3 linked regions of the Anolis sagrei genome follow. The protein of the gene in region 1 interacts with the protein of each later gene in a pairwise test. Links are inferred from orthologs where the notes say so. Each region holds a gene or a part of one and is shown in the gene's direction. Other genes may lie near its edges. The genes, in order: C5H4orf19, PDCD10 and EIF3E.

The links.
Region 2: the proteins of C5H4orf19 (region 1) and PDCD10 interact in binary tests that used the Homo sapiens proteins (3 or more experiments, as listed by UniProt). The two-hybrid records come from large-scale screens. The link is inferred for Anolis sagrei from reciprocal best matches to the Homo sapiens genes PGCKA1 and PDCD10.
Region 3: the proteins of C5H4orf19 (region 1) and EIF3E interact in binary tests that used the Homo sapiens proteins (3 or more experiments, as listed by UniProt). The two-hybrid records come from large-scale screens. The link is inferred for Anolis sagrei from reciprocal best matches to the Homo sapiens genes PGCKA1 and EIF3E.

What each region holds. Positions count from the first base shown.
Region 1 is NC_090025.1:118,415,449-118,422,601, forward strand, and holds the start of C5H4orf19 (uncharacterized protein C4orf19 homolog), read left to right. Parts: upstream 1-4,153; 5' UTR 4,154-4,324; intron 4,325-7,153. UniProt on the Homo sapiens protein: Acts as a tumor suppressor. Acts as a tumor suppressor for colorectal cancer cell proliferation by targeting KEAP1/USP17/ELK1/CDK6 axis.
Region 2 is NC_090023.1:250,379,187-250,386,550, reverse strand, and holds the start of PDCD10 (programmed cell death protein 10), read left to right. Parts: upstream 1-4,306; 5' UTR 4,307-4,476; exon of another isoform or gene 4,477-4,486; intron 4,487-4,535; exon of another isoform or gene 4,536-4,697; intron 4,698-7,364. UniProt on the Homo sapiens protein: Promotes cell proliferation. Modulates apoptotic pathways. Increases mitogen-activated protein kinase activity and STK26 activity. Important for cell migration, and for normal structure and assembly of the Golgi complex.
Region 3 is NC_090024.1:27,383,985-27,391,677, forward strand, and holds the start of EIF3E (eukaryotic translation initiation factor 3 subunit E), read left to right. Parts: upstream 1-4,679; 5' UTR 4,680-4,753; coding exon 4,754-4,843; intron 4,844-7,693. UniProt on the Homo sapiens protein: Component of the eukaryotic translation initiation factor 3 (eIF-3) complex, which is required for several steps in the initiation of protein synthesis.

The sequences.
Region 1 (7,153 bases):
CAAACTCCAGCATATAGATCTCGTTTGCTGTGACATACTGCGGTTTTGTGTCAGTAAAATAATAATAATAATAATAATAATAATAATAAAACAATAACTTTATTTTTGGACCCCGCCTCCATCCCCTCAGAGGAATTTGGGTCGGCTTACATTGGGACGAGCCCGATGTAAGCCGCCCCATAGTTAAAATATAACACACTAAAATACATAAACAACAGCATAAAACAGAATAAAACAACAAGATTATAACAGAATATAAAAGCAACCATCAAACCAACAACAATGAACCTGTAATAATAATCAATTTTGGGTGGTATGGCTATGTTCTAGCAGCATTTTCTCCTGAATTTTCTTCTGCATCTGAAAATGACAGCCATAGATACAGGCAAAATGTCAGGAGATAATGCTGCTAGAACACGGCCATACAGCCCAGAAACCACACAACACTCCACTGAAAGAAGATCTATTTGATAGCCCTCAGAACCCATTCATTAGCTTCATGTGTCAAAGCAATTACAAATTTAAACCACCAAAAGTTCAGGGAAGATTGTGGTTGAGCAACTAATAAACATGTTACAATAATTCTATGTAACCAATAAAATAAGAACAAAGTACAAGTAATAGAACGGATAGTGCTGTCTTTTTAAAATATATTTTTCATTAATTTTTAACTATTGAAAACTTCATTCGACCCATCACTTGGACCACATACTTCTATCTTTTTATCCATGAGCACAATTTTCTTAATTTCAGTACAATATTCAAATTGGCTTTGCTACTATTTATCCATTCCATATAAACCATCCATTTATCTTTTATTTGTTTTGTTTTACACTCACACGTAGCATCATGAGTTCAATATACTAAAATATCAGATTGTAATTGATCATAAAAGTAGTAATTCCAATTTTCTATAGTCCTCCCCCCCCCCCCCCCAATATTTCCCACCCCATGCTATCACTGCCTGTCCTGCTAAAATCATAGCTTTAAATAATTCCTGGTCTTTTACTTTAACCTTGTTGTTACCTAAAACTTCCATTAGCATCACATCAATGCTCACTTGAAGTGATAAATTAAATAGGTTTTCTTCCATTTTCTCCTTGGACATTCCCACCAAATATGAGCATACTGTCCTTTGTTTAAATCCCACTTGCCTAGTTTCCAATAGACCTCACAACCTCTGAGGATGCCTGCCAAAGATGTGGGCGAAACATCAGGAGAAAATGTTTCTGGAACATGACCATACAGCCCGGATATCTCACAGCAACCCAGAGATTCCAGCCATGACAGCCTTTGACAATATATTGCATCATGTTTCCATCTGAACTGCTTTTTGAATAATGGGATCTACAAGTTCAGCAGTGGAGTAGGCTGCCTGGGAGTGTGGTGGAGTCTCTTTCTCTGAAAGAGGTGATTAGATGTCCTTGTTTGTTTCCTCTTTGTTGTTGTGCTGTTGCAATTTTAGAGTTTTTTAATACTGGTAGCCAAATTTTGTTCATTTTCATGGTTTGTTCATCTAATAACCTCTCAACAAAAGTTTTCTCCAGGCACAGTCAGGCCATTGTATGCTAATCAAAGTGGTCAGTTGAAACATTCACACCTAGCTCCAGCAGACAAGAGTCCTTTGTCTCACCCTGGTCATTCCACAGATATATAAACCCTTTTTCCTAGTTCCAACAGACCTCACTACCTCTGAGGATGCTTGCCATAGATGCAGGCGAAACGTCAGGAGAGAATGCCTCCATATGACCATGGCCATATAGCCCGAAAAAACCTACAACAACCCAGTGATTCCGGCCATGAAAGCCTTCAACAATACAGTATTTTCTGTTGGTCAAGGGGGTTCTTTGTGGAAAGTTTGGCCCAATTCTATCATTGGTGGGTTTTAGAATGCACTTTGATTGTCGGTGAACTATAAATCCCAGCAACTACAACTCCCAAATGTCAGTGTCTATTTTCCCCAAACTCCACCAGTCTTCACATTTGGGCATATTGAGTATTCCTGCCAAGTGTGGTCCGGATCTCTCATTGTTTGAGTCCACAGTGCTCTCTGGATGTAGGTGAACTACAACTCCAAAACGCAAGGTCAGTGCCCATCAAACCCTTCCAGTATTTTCTCTTGGTCACGGGAGTTCTCTGTGCCAAGTTTGGTTCAATTCCCTCATTGGTGGAGTTCAGAATACTCTTTGATTGTAGGTGAACAATAAATCCCAGTAACTATAACTCCCTAATGATAAAATCCCCCCCCCCCCCCCAAAAAAAAACACCTTGCCAGTATTCAAATTGGGGCATATTGGGTACTTGTGCCAAATTTGGTCCAGTGAATGAAAATACATCCTGCATTTCAGATATTTACATTACGACTCAGAACAGTACCAAAACAACAGTTATGAAGTAGCAATGAAAATAATGTTCTGGTTGGGGGTCACCACAACATGAGGGGCTGTATTAAGGGGTCACGGCATTAGGAAGGTTGAGAAATACTGGCCTAAGGGCTAAACAATAAAAATTAGTACTAGACTTAGCTTGACTTCTGAAGCAGAGACCTCCTGTGGGTCACTACATTAGAAACTGAAGAGTTTCACAGCATCTTATCATCATGTTGGGTCATAGCATGTTTGTGTCCAAGAGCCCCTTAAATTTCCAGCTCAGTTGCGGCAGGAAAAAAAGCCAATGGGATGTTGGCCTGCATCAATAGGAGTCTAGTGTCTAGATCCAGGGAAGTCATGCTACCACTCTATTCCGCCTTGGTTAGACCACATCTGGAATACTGTGTCCAATTCTGGGCACCACACTTGAAGGGAGATGTTGACAAGCTGGGATGTGTCCAGAAGAGGGCGACTAAAATAATCAAGGGTCTGGAGAACAAGCCCTATGAGGAGCGGCTTAAAGAGCTGGACATGTTTAGCCTGAAGAAGAGAAGGCTGAGAGGAGACATGATAGCCATGTTCAAATATGGGAGAGGAAGTTATAGGGAGGAGGGAGCGAACTTGTTTTCTGCTGCCCTGGAGACTAGGACGTGGAACAATGGGTTCAAACTACAAGAAAGGAGATTCCATCTGAACATGAGGAAGAACTTCCTGACTGTGAGGGCCAGACATCTAGTGGGGGGGGGGGGGCTTGAGGGGCTTCATCCCCCCCCCCCCCCCAAATTCTCAGGGTGGTCTGCGAGAAGGCCTTACTGGTACATTATTTCAACTGTTATGTTTATTTATATCATGATCTGATCACCATGCCCAATATATCCCATATGCATAAGGCTTAAAGAACTGGGCACGTTTAGCCTGAAGAAGACAAGGCTGAGAGGAGACATGATGATGGCCATATATAAATATGTGAGAGGAAATCATAGGGAGGAGGAAGTGAACTTGTTTTCTGCTGCCTTGGAGACTAGGATGTGGAATGATGGCTTCAAACTACAGTAAAGGAGATTCCATCTGAACATTAGGAAGAACGTCCTGACTGTGAGAGCCGTTCAGCAGTGGAACTCTCTGCCCCGGAGTGTGGTAGAGGCTGGATGGCCATCTGTTGGGGGTGCTTTGAATCCAATTTTCCTGCTTCTTGACAGGGGGTTGGACTGGATGGCCCATGAGGTCTCTTTCAACTCTGTGATTCTATGAAAGAAGGAGCCTCCACCGCACTCTGGGGCAGAGAGTTCCACTGCTGAACAGCTCTCACAGTCAGGAAGTTCTCCTGAATCTCCTTTCTTGTAGTTTGAAGCCATTGTTCCACGTCCTAGTCTCCAGGGCAGGAGAAAACAAGCTTGCTCTCTCCTCCCTATGACTTTCTCTCACATGTTAATACATGGCTATCATGTCAGCCTTCTCTTCTTCAGGCTAATCATGCCCAGCTCTTTAAGCCGCTCCTCCTAGGAATTGTTCTCCTTGATCATTTGAGTGGCCCTCCTCTGGACACATTCCAGCTTGTCAATATCTTACTTCAGTTTTTGAGGTAAGAGTATTCCAGGTGCGAGCTAACCTAATCCTCCTCATTAGGACGTTTGGCTGGTTTTCTCCCGCCTTCAACTTGCAGGTAAAGGGTTACAAGAGTGTCTCCTGGGATGTCTTCCATGCAAACTCTCTCTGTGAGTGTGTGTGTGTTTGTTTTTTAAAGGGCTTTTCTTTTCCTCAGCGGTCACGTGACGCCCGGCTGCCCAATGGCACCCAGGGCAGGCTCCCTCCGAGGTCAGGCAAACTGGCTCCGGGCTGGGAAAAAAGGGGGCAGTTTGGCGAGGCTGCCTTTCCCTTTTCGCCTTCAAAGGAGGCAGTCCGGTTCTGGCCATGGGAGAAGCTGAGCCCCAGCCTGGAGGGAGCAGAGGCTGCAGGTAGGAGGAAACTTGGGGAAAACTTTGGGGACAGGTGTGAATGAGCGGTGGGCTCACCTTGCCTGGCGATGGAAGGCTCTCCCCTCCCTTGGAAAGGCATCCACTCACCCACCTCTCTTTCCAAAGGAGCAACAGGGTGTTTAGGAACCCCTCCTTTTTTTGGGAAGCTTAGCCCACAGATCCAGGGATATCTACCTGAGTGGGACAACACAGGGCAGAAAGTGGAGGGTGCGAGAGAGGAACCTCCTGACCCCCCCCCCTCCCCAAAGAAGGCAACTTGTGTGTAGGTGGCCAGAACTTTCAAATATATAGGCAGCCCCCAAGTTATGAACAAGATAAGTTCCACAGGTTTGATTTTAGGTTGAGTTTGTATGTAAGTCGGAACAGGTGTATTTTTGAAGAGTTGTCATTCCAGCCAAAAACACAGGGGGGAGGGGTGTGTGTGTGAGAGAGAGAAAGAGAGAGAAAAAAGAGAGGAACAGAGGGATAAGAGTAGAGAGAGAGGGGGGAAAGGGAAGAGGGAGGGATAGAGAGGGTGGGGGGGAAGGAGAGAGAGTGAGGGGAGAGAGAGGAAACGGGAGAGAGGGAGGGGGAGAGAGAAGAGAGAGGGAGGAAAGAAAGGAGGGAGGGAGAGAATGAGAGAGGATAGAGGGGAGAGAGGAAAGAGGGGAGAGGGAGATAAAGTGGGGGAGAGAGGGAGAGAAAGAAAGAGAAGAGAGAGGAAGCAGAGAGAGAGGGGGAGAGAAAGAAGAGGGAGAGAAAGAAAGAGTAGAGAGAGGAAGCAGAGGGGGAGAGAGGAGGAAGAGGGAGGAAAGAGGAGAGAGGGAGAGAAAGAGGGGGGAGAGGGAGAGAAAGAAAGAGAGAGAAGAAAGGGAGGAGGGAGGGAGGGAGGGAGAGAGAGAGAAAGAGAGGAGAGGGAGAGAGAGGGAGGAGGGAGAGAAAGAGAGAGGAGAGGGGGAGAGGAGGAGAGAGGGAGAGAAAGAGAGAGGGAGGGAGAGAAGGAGAGAAAGAAAGAGAAAAGAGAGGGAGGAGGGAGAGAGAAGGAGAAAGAAAGAGAGAGAGAGAGTAGATATTTCGGTAGCATAGGGAAGGGTAAACACCCCTGTGCTGTTTGTTTACTGTCTGTTCCACTGTTCCAAAGATTTCACCTCACTTTCTCTCCCTGCAATTAGATTTTGAAACTTTTGGCTTGCACTGAAACAAGGCTTGCTGATAAAGCTTCAGTGGAGACACCTTTTCCCCTTAATCACTCTTTCATGAGTGAATTTCCCTTTCAAGGGTTCAGATTTTGTCTCACCCCCATTCTTATCTAGGAGTCATTTGTAACTCAGGGACTACTTACACTAGAAGAACTTGGCAAAGATACACCACTTAGGCAGAAAAAATGAAATGCAAAGATACAGAATGGGGGATGCCTGGCTTGGCAGCAGTACTGTACATGTGAAAACATCTTGGAGTCCTCATGGACAACAAGTTAAACATGAGCCAGCAATGTGATGTGGTGGCTAGTCCAATTCTGGGCACTGCAATTGAAGAGAGATGTTAACAGGCTGGAATGTGTCCAGAGGAGGGTGACTCAAATGATCAAGGGTCTGGAGAACAAGCCCTATGAGGAGCGGATAAAAGAGCTGGGCATGTTTAGCCTGCAGAAGAGAAGACTGAAAGGAGACGTGATGGGGGTCATGTATAAATATGTGACTGGAAGTCATAGGGAGGAGGGAGCAAGCTTGTTTTCTGCTGCCTTGGAGAATAGGACACAAAACAATGGCTTCAAACTACGGAAAGGACAATCCTCCTGAACATGAGGAAGAACTTCCTAATGGTGAGAGCTGTTCAGCAGTGGAACTCTCAGCCCTGGAGTGTGGTGGAGGTTCCTTCTTTGAAGACTTTTAAACAGAGGATGGATGGCCATCTGTCAGGGGTGCTTTGAATGCAGTTTTCCTGCTTCTTGGCAGAGGCATGGACTGGATGGCCCATGAGATCTCTTCCAACTCAATTATTCTATGAAGAACAATTTTAATCAGCAATAACTTACCAGCATTTCAATGGGAAGTGTGGGCCTGCTTTTAGCTGATGAGAGTCAGGTTAAAAAAGATTGTTGTTGTTGTATGCCTTCAAGTTGTTTCAGACTTAGGACAATCCTAAGTTTAAAGATTAAGGCTGATTTGCTGTCCTGTGTAATGTCTGAAAGGACCTCCGGTCCAAGAGCACAGGAGAAACTTGGATAACTAGGAAGAAATAGGTAATATGATGAGAAGATTAATAGGGAATAATAATCATAACAACAAGAACACAACTTTATTCAAATCCCTCCATCATCTCCCAAAAGGGATTCGGGGCAGCTTACAAAGCACATAGTAGTGCAGCAGAATATACAAAATATAGTCAAATACATGAATATTTATAAAACAACACCAATGTCAATTTACGTAAAACAAATATACATAAAAACAGTATATAAAGCCCCTACTAATTTAAATAAAATACTCATTTTTAACAAGAGAGAAAAGTGGGGTATAAATAAATAAATATAAAAATACAAGGTATAAAAGAGATAAAAAAGGATATAAAGATATTGATAAATATAAGAAAGAACTATATAACGATTGGGAGTATCTGATAACCATGTGTGAGTTGCACCTTCAAAGTAATGGAGTATGACACTTTGAATGGACAATGACTGGTTGAGTTGTTTCTATGATCTTTATGGGTTATGGGAGGAAATCACAGCACTGAGTGAAAGTGAGACAGTTTGCATCATTTCCCATAGTTTCGTAACTCGGCATTTCTCAATGTCCTTGTTTTATCATACCCAGGCTAAGTCCCCCC
Region 2 (7,364 bases), on another chromosome or scaffold:
GGTGGCAGTTAAAGTGGCATCAAACTGTATTTGTTCTACAGTGTAGATGCCCTTCCACTCCCAATAAAGAAGTGTAGACTCACATCCTTAGTAAAAAAATTGAGGGAGGAGGCTACATTGCAGCAAGAGAACAAAAAAAAATATTGTGGAATTTTAAAGACTAGTTGGTTTTATTTGGCACAAGTTTCCATAGGCTACACAATCCATTTCATGAGATGTAGCCTGAACAACAATGTGAAACCAAATGTAGAAATCGCATGGAAAACCTGTATATAAACATTCTTCCCTATATTATTTCAATATCTCTTTTCTACTGCGTACAGCCTTCTTTCTTTTCTTTAAAAGCATCTGGAAACACTAAGTGACAACCTCATTCGAAGTCAGTGACAAAATTGCTCATTATAAAGATTTCCATCTGTACCAACAGAGATGAAAGAGACCAATTGCAAAGCCTAATGGCCATCTCAATGGACCGACATTCTATATAAAACTTTTGAAGAGATAGATGTCAAATACGGTACTCATCTTTACAAGAACCAGTAATGTGGGAGACGCAACACTATAGGATGAGCTAGGGATAAATACTGATACTGCCCAATTCTGAACCAACTCTATCTATCTATCTATCTATCTATCTACACAGACACACACACACAGACAGATAGATAGATACTAGCCGTTCCCTGCCACACGTTGCTGTGGCCCACATGGGGGTTCTGTGGGGGAGGTTTGGCCCAATTCTATCGTTGGTGGGCTTCAGAATGCTCTGTGATTGTAGAACTATAAATCCCAGCAACTACAACTCCCAAATGTCAAGATTCTATTTTCCCCAAACTCCACCAGTGTTCACATTTGGGCACATTGAGTATTTGTGTAGAGTTTGGTCCAGATCCATCATTGTTTGTGTCCACAGTGATCTCTGGATGTAGGTGAACTACAACTCCAAAACCAAAGGACACTGCCCACCAAACCCTTCCAGAGTTTTCTGTTGGTCATGGGAGAACTGTGTGCCAAGTTTGGTTCAATTCCATCGTTGGTTGGGGTTCAGAATGCTCTTTGATTGTAGGTGAACTATAAATCGCAGCAACTACAACTCCCATATGACAAAATCAATTTTTTTGAGTGAAGGACATACATTGGGTTGTTAAGTGTCTTGTGTCCAAATTTGATGTCAATTTGTCCAGTGGTTTTTGAATTCTGTTAATCCCATAAACGAACATTACAATTTTATTTATACAGATGTGTGTGTGTGTTATTTATTTATTTATTTAGGCATGTGTAGTCCTTTCTCAACCTCTGCAGAGGAACTCAGGGTGGCTACCAACCGGCAAAGCACAGTGCCAACAACAAAGTAAAAACAAGCATATATACACATATTATAATAAAACAGATATAAAAATTCATTAAAACAGTTTGCCAATTTAAGTCGTCATCCTAGAAACATTCCATTAAAACAGTAAGTCAGTCTACTCTGCGAATGCTTGATCCCACAACCAGGATACATATATATGAAAAAATATACTGACTTTACCTAGATATAGATATATACCTCAAACGATATTTCGTAGCATTACTTTAACTCTTGAAGGGTAAATGACAGTGACTCTCAACTGCAAACACATACAAATCGGGGATTCAACCAGTAAGTCAGTCTGCTCTGCAAATGCTTGATCCCACAACCAGGATACATATATATGAAAAATATACTGACTTTACCAAGATATAGATATATACCTCAAATGACATTTCGTAGCATTATTTTAACTCTTGAAGGGGTAAATGACAGTGCCTCTCAACCGCAAACACACACAAATCGGGGCTTACGGAGAATGACAAAGGGGGAAATGCCCATTATCTTTGAGCAAAAGGAGCATTTGCTATAATTATTCCATATAATCAGTTACTTCACAAAATTCAATACAGGGAGGGGAAATGACTGCAGGTAGAAATTATTTAATTTGCAACATCACTGTTAAAGCTTGCAGTGGCGGAAAGGAAGAGAGACAACAATATATCCTCATAGGTTGCTAGCAACAGGGGAAAACATAGAAAAGCCTCTGGGAAGTGATCCAGCACTTAGCTGAGAAGATGCTTGGGAAGGAAATTGGGAGAGGGTGAAGTTAAGATACGGGGAGAGCTGCCCAATTAAATAATAATAAAAATAACAACAACAATAATAACAATAAACAATAATAAACAAAAAAATTTGTTGTGTCAGGAGCAAGTCGCTTCTGGTGTGAGAGAATTGGCCGTCTGCAAGGACGTTGCCCAGGGGACGCCTGGATGATTTGATGTTTTTATCATCCTTGTGGGAGGCTTCTCTCATGTCCCCGCATGAGGAGCTGGAGCTGAAAGAGGGAGCTCATCCGCCTCTCCCCGGATTCGAACCTGCAACCTGTCGGTCTTCAGTCCTGCCGGCACAGGGGTTTAACCTACTGCGCCACCGGGGGCTCCTGATAATATAACAATAATAATATAACAATATAACAATATTATTATTATTATTATTATTATTATTTACTGCGCTTATATACAGCAATTCTCAGCCCCAAGGGCGACTCATTGCGGTATATTGTTAATATATTGATATATTGATAATATATTGTTAATATATCCTGATAATATAACAATAATAATATAGATCTCACAACAATAATAATAAACAATAATAATATAGACCTCGTTTGCTGTGACATACTGCATTTTGTGTCTGTCAATTAATAATAAATAATTTATGAAATTTTTAATAATTAGTATAATTAGAGGAAAGAATGAAAACTTGTCTATATTTTTCTAATCAAAATAAAGAGGAGTGGGAAACAACCACTATCCTGATCTTATTCAGTGGGTTCAAGTTATGCTACTGGAAGATCTGCCCAAAATAATAATAATAATTGCATTTTGGGGGAAATATGTAAACTAGTTTATTGTTCCCAAGCAAAAGAAAGGGGAAGATGAACCATCCACTACTAAATTCCTATTCAGTGGAGCCAAAGATCAATTATATTCACTCTTCTTCTCAAAGGAAAGACATAAACAAAAGGGGAGAGGCAATCAAGCCTTGCAAAGAGGTGACTGGCAGCAGAGCTTACCTGCCCCAAAGGTGCTTTCAAGAGCGATGGAGAGAGATGTTCCAGATGTGGCTCCGCACTCAGAGCCCGCTGCTTCCTTCGCCGGCACCGCCTCAGGGATTGTTTCTGGTGCGCCTCTGCGCTGGGAATGGTTTTACTCCGCAGGCCCGCCCACTTCCCCTTCGCTCCGCCCCCTTTCTGCCTAATATGGAAAACGCCACGCCCCCTTTCTCCCGATTGGTGTATCGCTTCTCCCCTTCTTATGCTTCTTCGCGCTTTCTCTCCGCCCCTTTTTTTTCCAAATATGGGCAACGCCACGCCCCTCACTCCCTTTTGGCCTCCCCCTCCTCTCCCTTTAAGATGCTTTCTCTCCGCCCATTTTGTTCCTAATATGGGCAAAAGCCACGCCCCCTTCCTCCCTATTGGCTTAGTCTTCCTCTCCCTTTCGGATTCTACTTCTCAATGTCTCTCCGCCCACTTTCGTCCTAATATGGGCAAAAGCCACGCCCCTTACTCCCTATTGGCCTTTCCGTCCTCTCCCTTTCGGGTGCCACTTCCCAATGTCTCTCACTTCGTCTATTCTGCCTTCAATATAGAGGTAACGCCCCGCCCCTTGCTCCCTCTTGCCCCCCTCCTCTCCCTTTCGGATGCTACTTCCCAATCTCTTTCTCTCCGCCCACTTTTTCCTAATATGGTCAAAAGCCACGCCCCCTTTTTCCCTATTGTCCTCCCCCTCCTCTCCCTTTCAGATGCTACTTTGCAATGTCTCTCTCTCTCTCCGCCCACTTTCTTCCTAATATGGGCAACGCCCCGCCCCTTACTCCCTATTGCCCCCCTCCTTTTCAGATGCTACTTTCCAATCTCTCTGTCTCCGCCCACTTTCTTCCTAATATGGGCAACGCCACGCCCCTTGCTCCCTCTTGGCTCCCCCTCCTCTTCCTTTCGGATGCTATTTCAAGATGTCTCTGTCTCCGCCCACTTTCGTCCTAATATGGGCAACGCCACGCCCCTTACTCCCTATTGGGCTCCCCCTCCTCTCCCTTTCGGGTGCTGCTTCCTAATGTCTCGCTCTTCGTCTACACGCCACTTGCTCCCTATTGGGCTCCTCCTCCTCTCCCTTTCGAACGCTACTTCCCAATCTCTCTCTCTCCTAATATGGGCAACGCCACGCCCCCTTCCTCCCTATTGGTCCCCTTTCATGAGTCTCTTGCGGTCTTCGCAAAGCATCTCGGTAGTTGTAGTGTTCAAGGCGCGACTACAGGCCCCGTGGGCCCCCGCGGTCGCCGGCTAGTTCCGGACAACGCCTGGTGTGTGGTAACGACGGCGGTGGCATAGGAGAGAAGGAGGACGCTGCTACTTCCGGCCTCGGCGAAAGAGGAGCCTCGAAGGGCGGACAGGCAGGCGGGTGAGGGGAGGTGAGGCGGCCGCTGCGCGCTCTCCTTCGGTAGTAGTGGGGTCGCTGGCAGGGCCTGGCCTGCGGGGCTTCGAGGACGGGGTTGGCCCCTGGCAAGCCGACTTGAGGGCAGGCGTCGGGCCTAGTGGCTTGGCTGAGGAGAGAGACAGAGAGAGAGGGGAACGCGGTTGGTTCTTCCTAGTCCCCGAAAGAGGAGGCCCTCCTTTGCTGAGGTATCCAGCCCGAGTGGCGGGGAGGAAGGAGAGGGAATTCGGGGAGGTGGACTAGGCCTCAGCCTGGAGGTCAGGGTTCAGGAGACCCATTGGGTGACCTTGGGCGAGCCACACTCTCTCAGCCTCAAGGGCAACCCCCTCTCTGGAGAAATCTTGCCCTGTGATGGGGTGCCTTGAGGGTCACCCTAATTAAGGAACTATTGAAGCCATGGGGAGGATTATATGTATTTATACCCCCACTTTATCTCCCCCAAAGGGGACTCAAGGCAGCAAAACATAAAAGCATTTGCATAACCCAGGCATGGGCAAAATTTGGCCCTCCCTCCAGGTGTTTTGGAATTCAACTCCCATAATTCCTAGCAGCCGGTAGGCCAGGCATGGGCAAACTCCAGCCCTCCAGGTGTTTTGGACTTCAACTCCCATGATTCTTAGCAGCCAGTAGGCCAGGTATGGGCAAACTCCAGCCCTCCAGGTGTTTTGGACTTCAACTCCCATAATTCCTAGCAGACGGTAGGCCAGGCATGGGCAGACTCCAGCCCTCCAGGGGTTTTGGACTTCAACTCCCACAATTCCTAACAGCCACAGGCCCTTTCATTTTTCCCCGCAGCCGCTTAAGCCGCTTAAGCTGCTGAGGGGAAAAATGAAAGGGCCTGTGGCTGTTAGGAATTGTGGGAGTTGAAGTCCAAAACCCCTGGAGGGTCGAAGTTTGCCCATATCTGCAATAGGCTGTTAGGAATTGTGGGAATCGAAATCCAAAACACTTGCCTGGCATAGCCATTTGAAAGATACAAACATTGAAATAGTATTTTTAAATTCCCAGTTAAAAATCATCCAAACACATTCACAGTTGAAAACCACAGCAGCCGCCGTGAATTATTCTTAAGATGAGGAGAGACAGGTAAAAATGGTATTGATTGTTGTTCTTGAAGGCACACAACAACAATGGCCATAAATAAGAAATTGGTAGGTGCATTATATTGCGGAGCAGGCATGGGCAAGCTTCAGCCCTCCATCCAGGTGTTTTGGACTTCAACTCCCACAATTCCTAACAGCAGGAATTGTGGGAGTTAAAGTCCAAAACATCTGGAGGGCCGAAGTTTACCCAGAAGACCAAAGTTTGGGAACAAATGCAGTTTTGCAGCACTTTAATTGCCGCAGCCCATTGCTATGGAATCACAGGAGCTGTGGTATGATTCAAAAGACGGTCTCAAAGCTAACTTTAAAAAATGTGGTATAAACACATTTTGATTCTTATGCAGACGTGATGTTTTGGAGGAGAGACAGGTCAAAATGGTATTGGTTATTGTTATTGAACTTACACAACAACAACAATGGCAATAAAGAAGAAATTGGTAGGTGCGTTACATTGAGGAGTGCATCTACACCAGGCATGGGCAAACTTCAGCCCTCCATCCAGGTGTTTTGGACTTCAACTCCTACAATTCCTAACAGCCAGTAGGCTGTTAGAAATTGTGGGAGTTGAAGTCTAAAACATCTGGAGGGCTGAAGTTTGCCCAGAAGACCAGAGTTTGGGAACAAATGCAGTGCTGCAGCCCATTGCTATGGAATCACAGGAGTTGTGGTATGATTTAAAAGCCGGTCTCAAAGCTAACTTTAAAAAAATGTGGTATAAACACAGAGAACTGGGAAGCCCTGCCACCCCAGCATTGTAACAGGAAGTCAACATTTACAAACGGTGCAATGGATTTTGAAGAGGCTGGAGTGCAGGGTGTAACAAGCCAAGAGGAAGTCGCACCCTTTGTTGTGACTGCCTTCCATCTTGAAATTGATGTCCTCATTGCGAAACGCCATGCGGATCTAGCATAGGTCTTCACAGGGCCCTTCCAGACAGGCCCTATATCCCAGGAACTGATCCCGAGTTTTCTGCTTTAAACTAGATTATATGAGTCCCTGTTGCCAGATAATCTGAGATGAGATCCCGGGATATAGAACCTGTCTGGATGGGCCCACAGTCACAGACCCACCATCAAGAATCTACCTCTGGAAGATGATCATATGCAGCCACGAGGGATTGCCTACAAGGTCTTTATCCTTCCCTAGTAAAATATACTGATGCCTGACCAAATTACAACTCCCATGATTCCATATCATAGAACCATGGCAGTCAAAGGGATTCCAAACTGCATTAATTCTGCAGTTTAAATGTGCCTAAGCATAAATTAACCAAGGAGTTTGGGGGGGTTTTTTATAAGGTGGAAAAAAAATAATGGGGATGGCAGGAGGAAGAGGTAGTAGAAGTGAGGGTTTTGTTTTCTTGGTGTTGATAGAGAAAGTCTGGCCAGAGCCAGCTGTATTTGAGGAAAAATAAGGTGCCAGTCTTAAACAGTAGACTTGGATTGCCAACAAATTCTTTGTTGCTTATAGTGGGCCCTTGGAATCTGCCAGGTTTTGGTTCTAGGACTCCCTGCGGATACCAAAAATTGTAGGTTCCTTATATAAAATGCTGTTCCTTATATATAATGGTGAAATCAAGATTTGTCTTTGGAAATAGTTGAATCCCTGATGTTGAACTCATGGATACAGAGAGACTGACTGTACTTCATTACTGTGCTTTTGCTTCCAGGGATGGGGAGTGGTGGCGTTCCGCCTCATTTGCTGAAATAATTAGGCAGGCTTCAGAGTTTTGGTTTCATTGACTTCGGTGAC
Region 3 (7,693 bases), on another chromosome or scaffold:
TGGTTAACTAAGACCGCAGTTAAAGAGGATCCGTGCCTGGTGAGTGTATGCTAAACCAGATAGGTTAAGACAGAGAAACCAACTCACCAAGTTGAAGACAAGCCACAGAGGTTTATTCGGTTTGGCCAAAAGGGATACAAGATAAGCCTTTTGTTTCAAAACGTTCAAGCATAAACTTACAGAGAAATACAGGGGATACAGTTCTGACAGCTATTCAGACTTCCCGCTCCCTCCCCTGATTAACCAGAAAAGAGGCTACTAGGATCCATGCCAGGATTGGCTGGGAGGGAAAATGGCAGCCAGGGATTGGTCAGAGTGGAGGACCAATCAACTGCAGAAACGCCCCGAGAGGGCACAGTCTGGGGTAAACAAATAGTAAAGTTATGGTGATGGGCCTTGGATGAGATCAAATGTCTAGTTCCAATTCAAACAAAAATGGGAGCTTCAGAAAGCAAAGCTGTAAGACTCAAGGAACAAAGGTGCTGATCTTGAGTAATCAAAGGCTTGGCTGTCAATAAAGAAGTTCAACACATGCACATATCTACAAGCCTGTTTTTGTGGGCAGCAATCTCTCAGCTTCAAGTAAATCATATAGCTAGACAAACAGGTTTAGGTTTATCTAAGCCGATAGAAAACTACCTATCTCTGCATACGCATGAACAATGAACTTGGTGGTTATCTTGGCTTGGGAATGTCTCTGGGCTTATTTGGTTTATATCTTGGTAAAGAAGAATAGATATAATTTATTAAAGGGTTAGATATGATAGAGTTTAGAGACTTATAGCTACTGCTAGCTTGATCTTGATGTTTTGATGCTTTGAACATGCACAAGTCTGGAAAGGGTCTTTTAAAAAGGGAAACATATATTTATTTCTGAACTATAAATCTTTTTTGGGGGGATTACCTTGGCTCGATAACACTGTGAATTGGATATCCAACTTCTTTAAAAACTTCTAAAGAAGTAGGATATACTAAATTCTGAGGCAATTTATTCCATTGTTGAAAAACTCTTAAAGCCAGGAAGTTCTTCCTAAAGTTTAAGTGGACTCCTTTTTCTTGATATTTGAATCTGGTATTCTTCTTGGAACATTAGAATACTGGTTCACTCCATCTTCTACATGATATTCTTTGAAATGGTTAAATACCTCACCCTGGAATCTCCAACAGCATAATTACACAGTCCAAGGTTGACCAGTCAATTTTCAGTAACAACAAGCTTTCAAGGAAGTAGCAGAAAAGCAGGCCAAATTTAGTCCTGATCCAATCCAACCACCAAACTTACAACCGATGAAACTGTCCAAAACTCCAAATGGTATCCACAGCTCCCCAGAGTGCAAAATCCAAGGCGTAGTTTCTAACATTGCTACCAGCAATTGAGCAGCATGAGACAAAGCCTTACATGTTGCTTTAACAGCTCATCCCCATTTCTGGCCATTCTCTCAGCAATTCTGATTGAATATCTCAGCTGAGATTTTTCTCTTGGGGAGCAGGCTTAGCAGTTGCTGCTTCTGGGTGTGGATGAGCAATTGCTGTTCTTGGCTAGGTTGTAGATCAGATATGGGCAAACTTCAGTTCCCCGGGTGTTTTGGACTTTAACTCCCACAGTTCCTAACAACTGCTAAGTTGGCTGGGATTTCTGGAAGTTGAAGTCCAAAACACTTGGAGAGGCAAAGTTTGCTCACGGCTGCTCTAGTTTCACAGCCAACCCCTCATCCACACCATCCATGATACAAATACTAAATATAACTATTTATTTATCTCATTTATATCTTGTCTTTTTCTACCCTGGGGAGTCAAGATGGTTTACAAATCCATTTTCTCTTCCTCAGACTAATTAAATGCAGCTCCCGTAGTTGTTCCTCATATGTCTTTGTTTCCTCCTCACATTCCAGCTGTCTATATTCTTCTTAAATTGGTGCTACCCAGAACTGACCATAATATTCCAGATAAACTTTACCCAGGAGCACTAGTTCTGACTAGTTCCAAATAGACAGGCAAACTGTTGTGCTGTAAGGAGGCAAAGGTAACACATACTAATTGCATGTGATGCCTGTCTCTAAAGGCAAACGAAGAACATGAAACTTTAAAAATTAGTGTATAATATAACCTTGTCCTTGCAAGAAAACATTATAGGATAACCAGTTTTAGTGGTTCTATGTGTATCTTTTTATTAGTCTAATGTGATGTATTTATACAATGTGTATTTGCAATGTGGCACCAAAGTGGCCAAACTGTAAGCTACTCTGAGTCCTCTTCGAGGTGAGAAGAGCTGGGTAGAAATATAGTAAGTAAGTAAATAAATAGTACATTCCCATATCCATAGGGAATGTGTCCCTCAACTTACTGTGGCAGTGGAAACAGGAAGCCATGGGCAATAGTGAATCCTGTGAAAATGAATTATTTCTGTCAGAAGTTGCATCTCATAGGAGAACCTGGAAAATTCTTAGATAGGTAACTTCAATGGACACAAACTTTGTTTCATAAATAATTTCTTTTTAAAAATTATGTATAAAATCACCCTCGGGCCATGTTTATAAGGTGTATTTGAAACATAAATGAATTTAATGTCTAGACTTGGGTCTCGTCTTCAAGATATCTCAACATGTATGTGCCAAGTTTCCAAAATCTGACAATACTGGAAATCTAAAACACCGGTTTCAAGCACTTTGGATAAAGGATAATCTGTTCTCAGACCCGACTTTTCATCCAGTGACCATAAGAAGCACTGGTTCTCACAGGGCTACTACCCCAATGACTCCAGAGCAAGAGAATGATACATAGGCAAGAAGTCTTAGGGCACATCTACACTGTGGAATTAACACAGTTTGACACCAGTTGAAGTACTATAGCTTAACGCTATAGAATAAGGGGAGTTGTAGTTTTAAAAGGTCCTTAGTTTTCTCTGCCTAAGAGGGCTGGTGTCACACCAAACTACAAAGCTCTCTGGATTTCATGGCATTGAACCACCGATGTTCAAGTGGTGTCAAACAGCCCGTTCATCGGGTATTATCAGGGTGGTTTTACCTATTTTGATTGAGTCATCATTAGGATTTTGCAACATTTACTAATATTTATGGTTTCAACTTATTCTTAATTTTTATATTGTATGTTTTTACTATTACAGTTACCATAAGTTTGTATTGATGTGTTTGTTTACTGTTTTGATTTGGTTTGTTTTTGTTTCTATTGTTTATTATGGCATTGAATGTTTGCCTTATTTTGTTGAAAACTGCCCTGAGTCCCCCCGGGGAGACAGGAAAGGTTATAAATGAAGTTTATTACTCAGTAGTAATTATAGTTAATATATTAGTATTACTGTATTACATTATTATATATTATTATATTGTATTATTATTGTTATATTGTATTACATGATAATATTAGCAGTATATACAACATAATATTAGCATGGCACAATATTAGTATTATATAATACTATATTGTACTATACCACTATACTGCAATGTTCTTAGTAATATATAAGGAGCCCCCGGTGGCGCAGTGGGTTAAACCCCTGTGCCGGCAGGACTGAAGACTGACAGGTCACAGGTTCGAATCTGGGGAGGGGCGGATGAGCTCCCTCTATCAGCTCCAGCTCCTCATGCAGGGACATGAGAGAAGCCTCCCACAAGGATGATAAAAACATCAAATCATCCAGGCGTCCCCTGGGCAATGTCCTTGCAGACGGCCAATTCTCTCACACCAGCAGTGACTCGCAGTTTCTCAAGTCACTCCTGACACGACAAAAAAAGTAATATATAACAAGCAAGTATTATATTAGTATATATTATATTGTATTACACACACACACAAGTATAATATTCTATTAGTACTATATAATACATTGTACTATATCATAAGTTGTAGTATATATAATATATTACAGTATCATTAATATTATATATAATATATTAGGATTATTACATGACAATGTTATTATTTCTATATATTATAGATGTCGTTTTATATATTACAGAATGATGACTTTTATGAAAAATAGTATAAGAAGATGAGTGGACAGCCAAGGTCTGGAGAACAAGCCCTATGAGGAGCGGCTAAAGGAGCTGGGCATGTTTAGCCTGAAGAAGAGAAGGCTGAGAGGGGATATGATAGCCATGTATAAATATGTGAGAGGAAGCCACAGGGAGGAGGGAGCAAGCTTGTTTTCTGCTTCCCTGGAGACCAGGACGCAATGGAGCAATGGCTTCAAACTACAAGAGAGGAGATTGCATCCGAACATGAGGAAGAACTTCCTGACTGCAAGAGCCGTTCAGCAGAGGAACTCTCTGCCCCGGAGTGTGGTGGAGGCTCCTTCTTTGGAAGCTTTTAAACAGAGGCTGGATGGCCATCTGTCAGGGGTGATTTGAATGCAACATTCCTGCTTCTTGGCAGGGGGTTGGACTGGATGGCCCATGAGGTCTCTTCCAACTCTTTGATTCTATGATTCTAAGGAGGAATAAGGGGAAAGAAGTTGAGCAAGGAGTGAGAAAATAACTCTGTACGCATGCGCAGGAGTTATTCTCCTAGCGACTAGTGACGCGGAGGGGAGGAGAGGCGGAGCTTAAATGTATAAGGAGGAGGGACATGAAGGGCGGAAGTTCTTCACGCATGCGTAGAAAGGTTTGCTGTGCCTAGAGACGGGGAGACGGCAAAGGCAGTGCGTGCCCTGTTGCGCGTGCGCAGTCCGATCTCGTTCGGCGACGGCGTCGAACGTGCCGTGCGTCAGCCTTTCCCTCTCAGCGCGGCGCCCAAGATGGCGGACTACGACTTGACCACCCGCATCGCGCGCTTCTTGGACCGGCACCTGGTCTTCCCGCTGCTCGAGTTCCTCTCCGTCAAAGAGGTGAGAGCGGCGCCTCCCTTCCTTTTCAGGGGGAACTGGCGGGGGAGCCTCGGGGCGGCTAGCAGGCCTCACAGGCCGGGGCTTCCTCCCCAGCGGCCTCCTCTACTTTGGAGGAAAAGGAGGCGCCTCCGCCTCTTGGGACGCTGTGCTGAGGGAGGGAGCAGATGGGAGCCCTTTGCTTCAGCCTCTGGAGGCCTGTTTTCTTTTGTATCTGCTGGACTCCAGTCTTTTCCTGGCCAGGTTTCTGTGAAGTAGCTTTAACATCATCTACTCAGCAATATGACGTTGTCTTCTTCATTCTCTTGTGGTGACAAACTTGGGCTACAACAGAAACCTGTAAAGTCACACATAAGTGCTCTTGCCAAATCTACCTTGGCTGAGATTGCCTCACATACACTTTATTAACTAGAGAGCATCATCTTGAGAAAATTCACTGTATTTATTTTATTTATCGTGTCAGGGGAAACCAGACCATTGTATTACATTTCTAACAGAACAAAGCAAACAAACAGATTAAAAAAAACCCACAAAGTTTGCAAGCTTGGTAGTTCATTAAATGTCCTTTGACCAGTATCTGGCCACTTGGAGTGCCTCTGGTGTTGCTGCAAGAAGGTCCTCCATTGTGCATGTGGCAGGGCTCAGGTTGCATTGCAGCAGGTGGTCAGTGGTTCGCTCTTCTCCACACTTGCATGTCGTGGATTCAACTTTGTAGCCCCATTTCTTAAGATTGGCTCTGCATCTGCCTTTCCAGAATAGGAAAACTCCAATAACAAGTCCAGAAGCACTTTATTAGAATTGAGATTGCAGCACACTGCACTTACCCTATAACCCTATATCACCTCTCACATCAGCACTTTTAATCTTGTACCCATTCACTGGCCCGGCCCAGTTTTATTGTGTCTTGATGTATTGTTTATTGCTTGTTGTTTAATATTGCTTTAATTGTTTTTAATTTGCTTTAGGTTTTGTATTGTTGTGTTGTGTTTGAGGCCTTGGCCTATGTAAGCCGCATCGAGTCCTTCAGGAGATGCTAGCGGGGTACAAATAAAGTTAATAATAATAATAATAATAATAATAATCTCGTGATGCCAGAGCGCAGTTTGTTGAGCGCAGTTTGTTCAGCGCCTTCCAAGTCGCCCAGTCTTCTGTGTGCCCAGGGGGGAGTCTCTCATTTGGTATCAGCCATTGGTTGAGGTTTTGGGTTTGAGCCTGCCACTTTTGGACTCTCACTTGCTGAGGTGTTCCAGCAAGTGTCTCTGTAGACCTTAGAAAACTGTTTCTTGATTTAAGTCATTGACGTGCTGGCTGATACCCAAACAAGGGGTGAGCTGGAGATGTCACTGCCTTGGTCCTTTAACTATTGGCTGCTACTTCCCAGTGGATGTCAGGTGGTGCAATACCAGCTAAACAGTGTAATTTCTCCAGTGGTGTAGGACGCAGACACCCCATAATAATGCGGCATGACTCATTAAGAGCCACATTCACTGTTTTAGTGTGGCGAGATGTGTTCCACAGTGGGCATGCATACTCAGCAGCAGAGTAGCATAGTGTAAGGGCAGATGTCTTCACTGTGTCTGGTTGTGATCCTCAGGTTGTGCCAGTCAGCTTTCATATGATAATTGTTTCTAGCACCCACTTTTTGCTTGATATTTAGGCAGTGCTTCTTGTAGGTCCAGAGTGACTCCCAGGTATTTGGGTGTGCTGCAATGCTCCAGTAGGATTCCTTCCCAGGTGATCCTCAGAGCTCGGAATGCTTGCCTGTTCTTAAGGTGAAAGGCACATGTCTGTGTGCCTTTCACTGTGACAGCAACCCTAAAGGAAGAAATATGAGGAAACTACCACAGTTTTTATAGTATCATTAAGTTGAAAGAGACCTTGTGGGCCATCTATTCCAACTCCCTGCCAAGAAGCAGAAAAATTGCATTCAAAGCAACCCCAACAGATGGCCATCCAGTCTCTGTTCAAAAGCCTCCAAAGAAGGAGCCTCCACCGCACTCCAGGGCAGAGAGTTCCACTGCTGAACAGCTCTCACAGTTACTAAGTTCTTCCTAATGTTCAGGTGGAATCTCCTTTCTTGTAAATTGAAGCCATTGTTCCGCATCCTAGTCTCCAGAGCAGCAGAAAACAAGCCTGCTCCCTCCTCTATGATTTCCCCTCATGTATTTATACATGGGTATCTTGTCTCATTTCAGCCTTCTCTTCTGCAGGCTAAACATGCCCAGCTCTTTAAGCCACTCCTTATAGGGCTTGTTTTCCAGACCCTTGATCATTTTAGTCACACTCCAGCTTGACAACATCTCCCTTAAATTGTGATGCTGAGAATTGGTCACAGTATTCCAAGTGTGGTCTAACGAAGGCAGAATAAAGGGGTAGCATGACTTCCCTGGATCTAGACATTAGACTCTTATTTATGGAGGCCGAAATCCCATTGGCTTTTGTTGCCACCGCATGTCATTGTAGGCTCATGTTTAATTTGTTGTCCAAGAGGACTTTAAGATCTTGTTCATGCATACTTCTATCGAGCCAGGCGTCCCCCATTCTGTATCTTTGCATTTCATTTCTTCTGCCTAAGTGGAGTATCTTGCATTTGCCCTTGTTGAACTTCATTTCGTTAGTTTTGGCCCATCTCTCTAATTCAGTGGTTGCCAACCTTTTTTTCGACCAGGGATTACTAGTACCAAAAGTGGTGGGGCTGGTCAGATCTGTGGAAAGTAGTGGAAATAAAATAAATAAAGAAGGAAAAGGTTCATGGACCAGATTTTTGTTCTCGCGGCCCACTGCTGTGCTGCGGCCCACAGATTAAGAAGCACTGTTCTAATCTGTCAAGATCTTTTTGAGTTCTGCTCCTGT